Nothobranchius furzeri: one gene and its partner. The protein of the gene in region 2 purifies or fractionates together with the protein of the main gene of each other region. This does not show direct contact. Links are inferred from orthologs where the notes say so. Each region holds a gene or a part of one and is shown on either strand. Other genes may lie near its edges.

The links. The genes of interacting proteins can lie anywhere in the genome.
Region 1: the proteins of aptx (region 2) and parp1 purify together in Homo sapiens (co-immunoprecipitation; 3 studies listed by BioGRID and IntAct, with this or other methods). This does not show direct contact. The link is inferred for Nothobranchius furzeri from reciprocal best matches to the Homo sapiens genes APTX and PARP1.

The regions. Positions count from the first base shown.
Region 1 is NC_091742.1:4,979,123-4,984,129, reverse strand, and holds the start of parp1 (poly [ADP-ribose] polymerase 1), read right to left. Parts: upstream 3,186-5,007; 5' UTR 3,062-3,185; coding exon 2,939-3,061; intron 1,238-2,938; coding exon 1,072-1,237; intron 784-1,071; coding exon 668-783; intron 577-667; coding exon 362-576; intron 356-361; exon of another isoform or gene 341-355; coding exon of another isoform or gene 1-340. Other genes in the region: adorb1a (adenosine A2c receptor), read left to right, coding at 1-340; si:dkey-206f10.1 (adenylate cyclase type 8), read right to left, coding at 4,548-4,763, 4,964-5,007. UniProt on the Homo sapiens protein: Poly-ADP-ribosyltransferase that mediates poly-ADP-ribosylation of proteins and plays a key role in DNA repair.
Region 2 is NC_091746.1:79,993,770-79,999,057, reverse strand, and holds the start of aptx (aprataxin), read left to right. Parts: upstream 1-2,204; 5' UTR 2,205-2,988; coding exon 2,989-3,130; intron 3,131-3,911; coding exon 3,912-3,958; intron 3,959-4,081; exon of another isoform or gene 4,082-4,121; coding exon of another isoform or gene 4,122-4,137; coding exon 4,138-4,416; intron 4,417-4,541; coding exon 4,542-4,601; coding exon of another isoform or gene 4,602-4,609; intron 4,610-5,072; coding exon 5,073-5,288. UniProt on the Homo sapiens protein: DNA-binding protein involved in single-strand DNA break repair, double-strand DNA break repair and base excision repair.

The sequences.
Region 1 (5,007 bases), on a different chromosome or scaffold from region 2:
AGAGCAGGGCGGCCGAGGGGCGGCGCGTCAAACCAGAGCCGCAGCTAGCATGCGCCGGGAGATAAAGATGGTGACGTCTCTCTTCCTCATTCTGTTTCTCTTCACGGTCTGCTGGATCCCGCTTCATGTCATCAACTGCTTCCTGCTGCTCTGCCCTCGCTGCTCCGTGCCGCTGGAGCTGCTGCTCACCGCCATCATCCTGTCACACGCAAACTCCACCATCAACCCCTTCCTATACGCGTACACCATGACGGCTTTCAGGGACACGTTTAAGGACATTTTCTTGTGCTGCAGGACGATGAGCAGCAGGAATAACATCGCTGAGGAAACAAATCTCTAAACTAAACGTTTGTCATCTCACCCCTCAGATTTGACAGCAGGGAGCCTCTTCTTAAGATCGTTCTTGTCTTCGGCGCGCAGCGCGTCGAATCCCTTCAGCTGGGCGGCGGAATAATCGGGCTTAAACACCAGTTCCTCCCTGCGGCTCACGAAGCACGCCGTGTGGTACCAGCGGTCGATCAGACCCAGCTGAGGTTTCTCTGGGTCAACCGTTTTCTTGGAAACACGAATCTGATCCTGAAAGAGAAGCAAAAATACGGCAGACATGTGAAGTATTTATGACACGTGTTCAACGGTTATTGATTAAGACATTTCCTGTGCTGCGGACCTTTTCTATTTTTTGCTCGCAGCCTTTGCACGTGCTGCGGTTCGACTTGGCGTACTCCACGGCAAAGTTATTCAGAGTTTTGGCCCCTTGAGCGGCACCTTTTGAATCACTTTTCCCTGCAAGATGCAAAGGAAAATAAGTCTAAACATTTAAAAAAAATATGCATTAATAGTAAATGATAAATTAAAAACATTTAGAACAACTTGAGAAATGGCACTCTTTTGACTTTTTATGGATCACTTCACTTTTTTATCTGGCTAATAAGACAAAGTTAAACCAATTGAAAGTAGCTATCTTAAGCTCTTTTGCTTACGATCCAATCCAATTTTATTTATAAAGCGCATTCACAAGGCATTACAACCAAACAAGGCGCTGAACACAATAATTAAAGATCTACCACCGACCTGCTCCGACAGCTCCTCCAGTCTCAATAGCCTTTTTGACTTTTTGCTGGTCCTCCCAGCGAAGAGTGGAGAACCCGGCGATGTCTGCTTCAGTCTGAGCTGCCGCTCGCTGCCAGAAGCAGGAGAAGTGGTGCCAGTGTGGGACTTTCCCATCGAACATCGGGGACTGGAGGACAAAAACAAGACAATGAAGCAACAGCAAATATCAGAAAAAAAAGATGAAAAAAAAAAACAAAACCATTAAAGTGAGAATAAAGGTTTTTCTGTTTGAATTTTTCTGGTTTCTGAATTTGAATGTTGTTTTGTTGTTGGATTTCTGTGCTAGTCATGGATTGTTGTCGTTTCGTCTGACCTGCGGCCGCGTGTCTTGGACACTCGGGTGAAGAGAGGGGCGGAGCAGGCAACTGACAACTACCTGGTGGTGAGTTGGCTCAGATGGTGGGGGAGGATACCGGTCAGACCAGGCAGGCCCAAACGTATCGCGAGGGTCTGCTGGGAACGTCTGGCAGAGTCTCCTGTCAGAAGGAGCTTCAATTCCCACCTCCGACAGAACTTCCAAAATGTTCCGGGGGAGGCGGGGGACATCGAGTCTGAATGCACTCTTTTCCGTGCCTCTTTTGTTGAGGCGGCCGACCGGAGCTGTGGTCGCAGGATCGTTGGTGCCTGTCGTGGTGGCAACCCCCGAACCCGCTTGTGGACACCGGCGGTTAGGGATGCCGTCAAGCTGAAGAAAGAGTCCTAACAGGTCTTTTTGGCCTGTGGGACTCCAGAGGCAGCTGACGGGAACCCGCAGTCCTGCCTGGTGAGGTTTTCTGGGCACGTCCAACCAGGAGGAGCCCTTAAGGTAAACCCCGGACACGGTGGAGGGACTATGTCTCTCACCTGGCCAGGGAACGCCTTGGGATTTCACCAGAGAAGCTGGCCCAAGTGGCTGGGGAGAGGGAAGTCTGGGCCTCTTGACTTCGGCTACTGGCTACTACCCATCTCCGGATAAGCGGATGAAAATGGATGGATGGAATTTTTCTGGTTTTACATGACAAACGTTTTTTGTGCATTAAAAAAATTCAGATTTTACTCACGTTAAAAATAAAATCATGAATTTGTAAACAAGGGTTTTCACAATTTTGTCTTTAAAACTACAGATAATAATTCTGACTTACTTATTTAAACAAGTATAACAAATAAACATATTCACAAGAATGTCAATGTTTCATGCAGCCAGAACTAAAAAAAAATTGACATATTTTGCAGAAAATACACAACACACGGTTGGGTTTTCCAACAATAAAAACAAAAAGGAACCACTGACCTGATAATATGCATTACTGTAACTATTAAGACGTTACAAAAGAAATACTATATAGACTATATTTTGTGGCTGAAACTTTAAATGTGTGCAAGTGGTAATGAATTTTCCTTCCTTTTGCAGGGGTGAGTGCTGATCTGGACCCACAGACTGACCAATAAGCAGGAGTTTGACTCTTACATGATTATTTCTCTATTGCACAGACTGGAACAGCTGCTTGTGTGATTTTTTTTATCTATGTCTCTTGAGTGGAGGAGAGGATGGAGCAGTTGTATTCTGCAGCACACTGGATGGGTCTCAGACATTGTCCTAAGTCCCTCTGAGGCGATCCAGGCGGCTCTTTGTGAGCCAGATTCATTCAGTCAGCCATTTAAATGCTAACCGGGGGCCTCACTTAGCACAACTCAAACTCCTTTATAAACTACACTAGATTAGTTTAAAGTCTGATTATTATGGTTCTCTATATGCGCACATATGATTTAGATATCAGCACGGTTATAAAAGGCTTCATAACAGAATGGTTCCTTGGTTAAATCCCTCCAGACGTCGCTACCTCCTCACCTGCACCATGAGGGCCATCCTCAGCGAGTCCTTAGCTATGCTCTCTTTGCATTTCTTGCACGAAGCCCGGCCGCTTTTCGCGTATTCCGCCTTGTAGAGCTTGTCATCTTGGGAGTCCGCCATTGTTCCTTAATGTTGCAAACAAGCAAACAAAGCGACGTGATGAAGAGGGCAACTTTCTCCGATGCACTCTCGGAGCCACCACAACAATCACAGGCAGAGCGGCGGCTGCAGCCCGCGTGCTACTTGGAGAGGAAGCTCACGAGACGAGGTCTCACTCTGACTCCGATTTACAATCCACGTAAGTTTTAACTTTGTTTTAATGTACTTTGTGGTATATTACGTTTTAGTTTGTTTACGTTATGATTCGAGACATTATGATGATTCGTTTGGCCATTTTAAACTTCTGTGTGGTCCCCACCTGTTTGTATTTTTCTCTAATGTACCGAAAAAAATCAGGGTTGAGTTGTTACACTGTAACCACATAACAACTTTGTTTATTCTTAACGGTTCATAAAAGAGAGAAACATTTGGCCACTCTAACCCAGAGCTAGAGTAGCTCTGCCCTAACCTAAATCTCTGACGCACTGTGATTTTTATCTTGAAAGGCGCTACACACATTAACTTTTCTTCTTCTACCAAGTGGGGCATCTTAAGAGCAATATAGGATCAGTGAACTGGTTCGCAGAATTCCCGCGCGAGTTTCAGCCAGAACTAATGGAGCACAGATCAATCAGATTTTTACAAAACTAAACATGAAATTCTACATGAAGCAAAACTATTAAGTATGTTAATTATAAATATATTTACAATAGTTGCATTTGTTTATAGTTGATCACTGAGAACTAATGCGCAAACAAACAATTCCAAAGAATAGTTCTGCTTTAAGATTTTTATTTGCACAATTCACATTGAAAGTTTATGTAAAAAATAAACATACAAAATGTAAATACAATATGTGTTCATCAAATGAACTTCAGTCTTTTGAAAACAAAATTTTTAAAAACTATGACCTGATTATAAGGGCCTAGATAACAATTTGGGTTCAATAACGACAATAATAATACACTGATGGAGACTTTCATTTACTCGTCTTTACAATAATTTTTCACATAGTCATTAATTAGTAAAATTATTTCTAAAAAATCTTTGGGCTTACTAATAAATATAAAAACATCTTTAACTGTAAACAAAATTGGTGGAAAATAACTCACTAAAAACGTCAACCAGGGCTTTACAGGCCACTGAGTAAAATTCTAAGAGGTATTGTGTGTTTTGGCGTAGAGGTCTCACCTCTTGCTAGCACATTTTCTAAGCAAGCAAGAAAATGTGTTGGCTTTTCTTTAACTGGACAAAATAGCATAAACAACAACTGAAAACAGAGATTTCAGATGATGAAGTTAACCTATATTATGATGCTATAAATAGTTAATTTCCAAAGTAAGGTTTAGATGAGAAATCATAGATGATTTCACCCAAGACGGTCTCAACTCATTTAGTTTTATAGTGACAGGATGGATCAGAAGGAAAAAGGAGTTTGGCAAGACTTGATCCAACTAGCAAACCTTGAAATACATTCATGGAATGTGTCTTCTTCTTTGTGCATTGCTCAGCAAAGCAGCTTACTGGGAGTCAAAGTGAAATTCCCATTGGACTCTCTCATCCTCTCTTTGTGTCTGGCCTGGACAAGACCAAATACCACTTCTGCTAGAGTCATGCGTCCTGCTGTGCGGCCACCTGGGCGCCCATCTGTTCCGATGTTGGCTCTTTTGCTGCGCATGGTGCTGATGAAGTATGTGCGAACATTCCCCTGGCATTCACTCACCTGAACAGAAGTACAATCAAATATGGTGTTATGTTCATGGGTACTTTGAACTTAAAAAAAACAAAACAGGAAATACTACCTTAATCGTACCCATCCTTGTACATTTAGTCATAATTGAAAAAAAAAAAACCACAAAATATATGATATTTATAATAGAATTTATCAGAACTTGAACATGTGAAAGTTCAACAAACACTCACCCCTTTGATAAATATTTCTCCTCGTAGTTCCAGGACAAAGCCCC
Region 2 (5,288 bases):
TTCCGCCATGTGCGTATGAAAACAAAGGCACTGCGCAAGCGCGTTTTACCCATTCTATCTTATCGCGATATTTCATTTTCTTATCATTGCCCAACATTGTACCGGTATTACTGTGAAAGGTATGATATGGCTCAGCCCTAACAGCAACACAGTTAAATACCCTAACATGGATGTTTTTGTCCTGTGGGAGAAAACTCGAGTGCCCAGAGGACACCTACACATGCATGGGGAGAACATGCAAACTCCACGCAGAAAGGCCCAAGCCAGATTTTGAACCTGCGACCTTCTTGCTGCAAAACAACAGAGCTAGCAACTGTGCCTCCTTGCAGAAATGATGACTCATGTATACGAGTCATGTAGCATGTCAGAAGGAAAAACAAAACTGTCTCACAAAAATGTCTATGTTCCTATGTGAAAATCAGCTTTTTACCAACCTTTTCGCTCTCTGTGCATCCGACTACCTCCACCAAAAAATAAGTCAAATATATCCATGGGGGATGCAAAGCTACCACCACCGCCACCACCTCCAGTTCCTCCTTCCTTTATTGCTTTTTCTCCTCCACGGTCATATAGATCTCTCTTCTTGGCATCTGATAAAACCTCATAGGCCTGTGATATCTGCTTGAACTTCAGAGAGAAAAAAAAAAGCTTAAACACATTTGTTATTGTTTGTGATGAAACAAAAACAAAACACTTACCTTCTCTCCCTCAGTAGGATTTTTGTCTGGATGATATTTCAAGGCTAGCTTGCGGTAGGCCTTTTTCAGTTCGTCTGGGGTTGCATTTGGCTTCACACCAAGTGTGTCGTAAAAGCCTGTTTCCTTAACCATGTTTGACTTTGACAGATGTTTCTGTTCAATTAAAAGTAGAATCAGTTGTAATAAATTTGACATTTACTACAAAAAAACTTACATTAACACCTTCACAAACATACCTAACGAAGACGCACGTAAGTTAATAGTGTAAAGAATTAGATTTTCTTGCAAGATTGTGAAATATGTTATTTTAATGCAAATGCATTTAACTAACTATTTAACCTGTACTTGAATTAATATAATAATTAGTAATGACAAAAGACTTACAATCTTACCAGAACACGTTATTCAAGTTAATATAAGAATACAAATCTTAGTTTTGCTATTTAACTTTAATTAGCCAGTGAGAGCAGAAGTTTCCCGTTTACGTCGCGAGGTGTTTATATCACTCAGTATTTTTAGGTAGGAGTTAACAGAAAACAAACAGAAGAAACATAATTTGTCTTCGTCTATTGTCTGAAAACATTTAAGTGTCTTATTTTCATAAACGTTTATATGACCGTATGGCTTCCAGTTTACACAAAAAAGAAACGATAAGGCCCCATGTAGCTGCTTTAGCTAGTGGAACTGGTGTTGTGGCGAAAAAAGTTACCCTGTCATAATGCGCATTTCGTTACGGGTAGCAGTTGCTTCCGTTGAAAAACCGACACATCACTAGCCCGTTAAAAACTGAAAAAGAAAATAGCTCTGTTCATCAGCACTTTACAATAATATTATAAACAAATGTTTTGATGTAACAGAAATGTATCTATCACGCATCAGTACAGTATATAGGAGAAAACGGTGTTGATTTGGTGGCTAAAATCAAGTCTTGGTAACTAATTGTAAAATTTAAGCAAATAAAACCACGAGTTACCTTTTTTTTTAAATCATCTTTGACTTCAACACAATTTATTAAAAATGGTGAATAAAGCAGAGATGACCATCGCGAGAAGAGGCTTGATTACAGGGGTATTTTTCTCGGTACAACACCACATTAAAAATCCAACGCTATCAATGTTGTTTTCCTCTATTTGTTAGCAAAAAATTTGACCTGAGACCGGTATATACAAAATATGACTTGAAAATAGCTAATTTCCAACCTTATATGAAGACAACTAAGACCCTTTCAAGGCCAAACCGCACATCGACTGTCTTCTAGAATCTTCACCCGTGTCCCGTGCTGCGTCCAAACGTTTCGCCCCGTTACGTCACTTTTTGGCGACGAAACCGTGTGGCAACACCCCCTTTAGCCAAAACCGATGAAGAAAACAAGCGCACGCACAGAAAGAATGGCGATGCAATGCAATGGACTGTTTTGCAATTTTTTTCTGCAGAAGTGGAAAAAGTCAGTTTACTTTAAAATTTACATCTCTTGCGCTGCTCAATTTACCTTATAAACGCGGTAGGCTAGTTTATCCTACTAAAGTACTAAATCCTAAATTAAAACGGTTGTAGGATCCTGAGTTTAATTTAATGCTAAAAAAAACAAATACCGAAAAGTTCAGACTTTTTAATATTAACGTTAAATTGAAAACATTAGCCTGCACCTGATTCCTGATTTGAATGATAGTAATGAATATGTCAGTTTTCTTGCTGAGGTTGCCTCTGCTAGAAATGTCAGTGCTGTTCTTAGATGAGAAATAGAAATAGAAAAGATTGTTTGGTCCAACCTGCTTAAATAAAAACTGATTATGTGTTAATTGGAGAAAAGGGGAATATGTCATGTTGACATGTTGCAATTTATATATTTAAGCACTGGAAAATACAGGATAAGGAAACAAACAACTAAAAAAACATAACAACCACACAAATAACACTTAGAGGGCTGCTGTGTCTAAACTGAAATGATGAAATAAATGTATAGTCTTGGTTAATTTGTTGTCGTTCTTTTTAAATTTTCCATGCTGTTCCAGTCACTTTCTCCATTCATCCCGGATGTTTTGCCCCCTTAGATGATAGTCGGGCTTTAGAGAAGTTCATTTTGAAGGCGTTCTTATTTAGAAAAACACATTTGAACAGTAAAAAAAACTATGGTTATTACGCTACGAAATGTTCTAAAAAATAAAGCTCTGACAAAAACGTAAAATTCGCTTTTCTTTTGCTGAGTAACATTTGTGATAGTAATCTTGATGACGCATTTCCGGTAGATGTGGTGGTTACGTCATATTTGCTCGCCGCCGGAGAACGCTAAATGACTGATAAAATGCCAATTTGCTGGCTTATCAGTAAGAAAGGAACTCACAGACCCATCCAGCTGCCGCATTTACAGACAGTCGTGTTGGGTCGAGGCCCAGAAACGACTATCAAAGACAAAAAATGCTCCAGGCAACAAGGTAATTTCTCTATTGTCGCTGCGCCTCATTTGTAATGCGTAACACGCGTGTAGTAGTTTTTTTTTACATTGTTTTTGTACTTAATTCGTTCAAGTTTCTTTCCTTCTAAGGATAATTAGAATCAAATTAGGTTTTTAAAAGACCTGCGTATTTTTAGACTTTTATTTTGAAGGACTAAAATAATTCAGCTGGCGCTCTGCCATTAAAGCAACTCAAAGACAGCACATCATGTAAAAATGCACCATTTACATAGTTTTCTTTCTAAATCACATTCAGAGGCCATTATGATAAAAACGTAACAAATACGGTCAGCTTCAGAAGCACAGCAGGCGTCCTCAGACCATTCCTGAACTATTCTACTTCTGGTTTATTTTAACTTTTTCTTTATGCAATTTCATAAATTTTCCTCAACCTTTCAAGTTTAATTATAATTATCCTTTTCAAAACAAAACTTTTCATTGCAGGAGTACGTGATCATATATTGTAATGTGAAAACATCAATTTACTTTTAGGATTTTCCAGGTGTATATAAATACATTGCATATTTAGCCACTTAATTTTTCTTGAATTATATATTCTAATTTTTACGCTGTAATTGGTAACTAAAGTTATGGCACTGAAGAAGACCAAAAGATCTGAGTAACAGCGTGCTCAAATATCTAAAAATGACATCCTGTTCCCCCAATTTAATTTTATTTATTTTTTATTTAAATTTGTCACTAATTAGCTTTGTGAAAATAAAAATCCTTTAACCTGTTTAACTATTATCCTTCCCAACCAGTTGAGCTGAAAGCTGAATGCAACAAAGGTTATGTGAAAGTTAAACAGGTGAGAGAGTTTGGATTACTAATTTATCAGCAACAGAAGCACAATTAATAATTATATGATGATGTTTGTTGTTAAAGTCTCAGTCTTGACAGTATTCTTTGAATATGCTTGCTGTGTGTTTAGCAGGTCTGCTCTCTGTAATAATCTGTATTTAAACTTGTCTATGAATGGCTCCAAAGCTGGGTTTAAACCCCACCTCTGTGGACTCTGCGGTGGTGGGAAAGGGCAACGAGGTGAAAATGAAGCCTGGACAGCATCTTCACGTTGTCAATCAGCTTTACCCATACACTGTCCAGTTCAAAGAAGATCTCACTGGAAACGACAAGAGAGACAGAAGACCAAGAGAGCCTACAGAAGAGGATGGAGAAAAACAGAAAAGCACTCTGACTATGAAAGCAACAATACACACAGAAAAGGATGCCGTGTCAGGCAGTCCTGTAGAAGCTACAAAAACAAATGTGAGAAGAGAGATATGTGTTTCTTTCTTGTTTTATTGTTTATTTGATCATTTTTGGACCACCTGTATTGTTGGTGGTCATTTTATTTCATGCAGATAAATGTTGTTTTCTGATATTTGCCGTAGGTAAGTGTTGGACATTGGAGCCAAGGCCTGAAGACTTCAATGCAAGACCCCAGTATGCAGGTATACAGGTACTGCAATATGGACGACTGCGTTTTCTTAAAGAGCAAGTCACCCCTACCAGATTCTTAATCAACTCTCACTTCCTGTTTGAAAAATGCAACAAATGCTGTTGCCTAGCAGACAGAGAGGGCGGAGCCGCTAACAAATACACACACACAGGCTCACAACGGCATTGTGACATCATAATGTACCAGTTTACATCATAGCATACCTCTTAGCCAATAGCCACGGCAGATTTAAATTCCAATGCAGTGCAGAGTTTTTACCCGACGACGGTGCAACACTGACAGTTTTAGGCAGAATATTTAAATTTTAACTAAAATGCACTGAAGTACCAAATTATTGACCACACATGTCTGCAGCACAATTAGACACACATTTATATAGTTTATCAGCAAAAAAACGTTGATTTGGGGGTGACTTGCTCTTTAAACATTCTTAAACTCGCATAACTTTGTCTCAATTTTCCAGGTTTACAAGGATGACCGAGTAGTTGTCATTACAGACAAATACCCCAAAGCCCGCTACCACTGGCTAGTCCTTCCATGGCAGTCGATTCCCAGTTTGAAGGCGTTGCGTGAAGAGCACTGTGACCTGCTGAAACACATGCAGCAGGTCGCTGATCGTATGGTTCAACAATGCCCAGATTCGGGTTCGGTACGCTTCAGAATGGGGTACCACGCCATC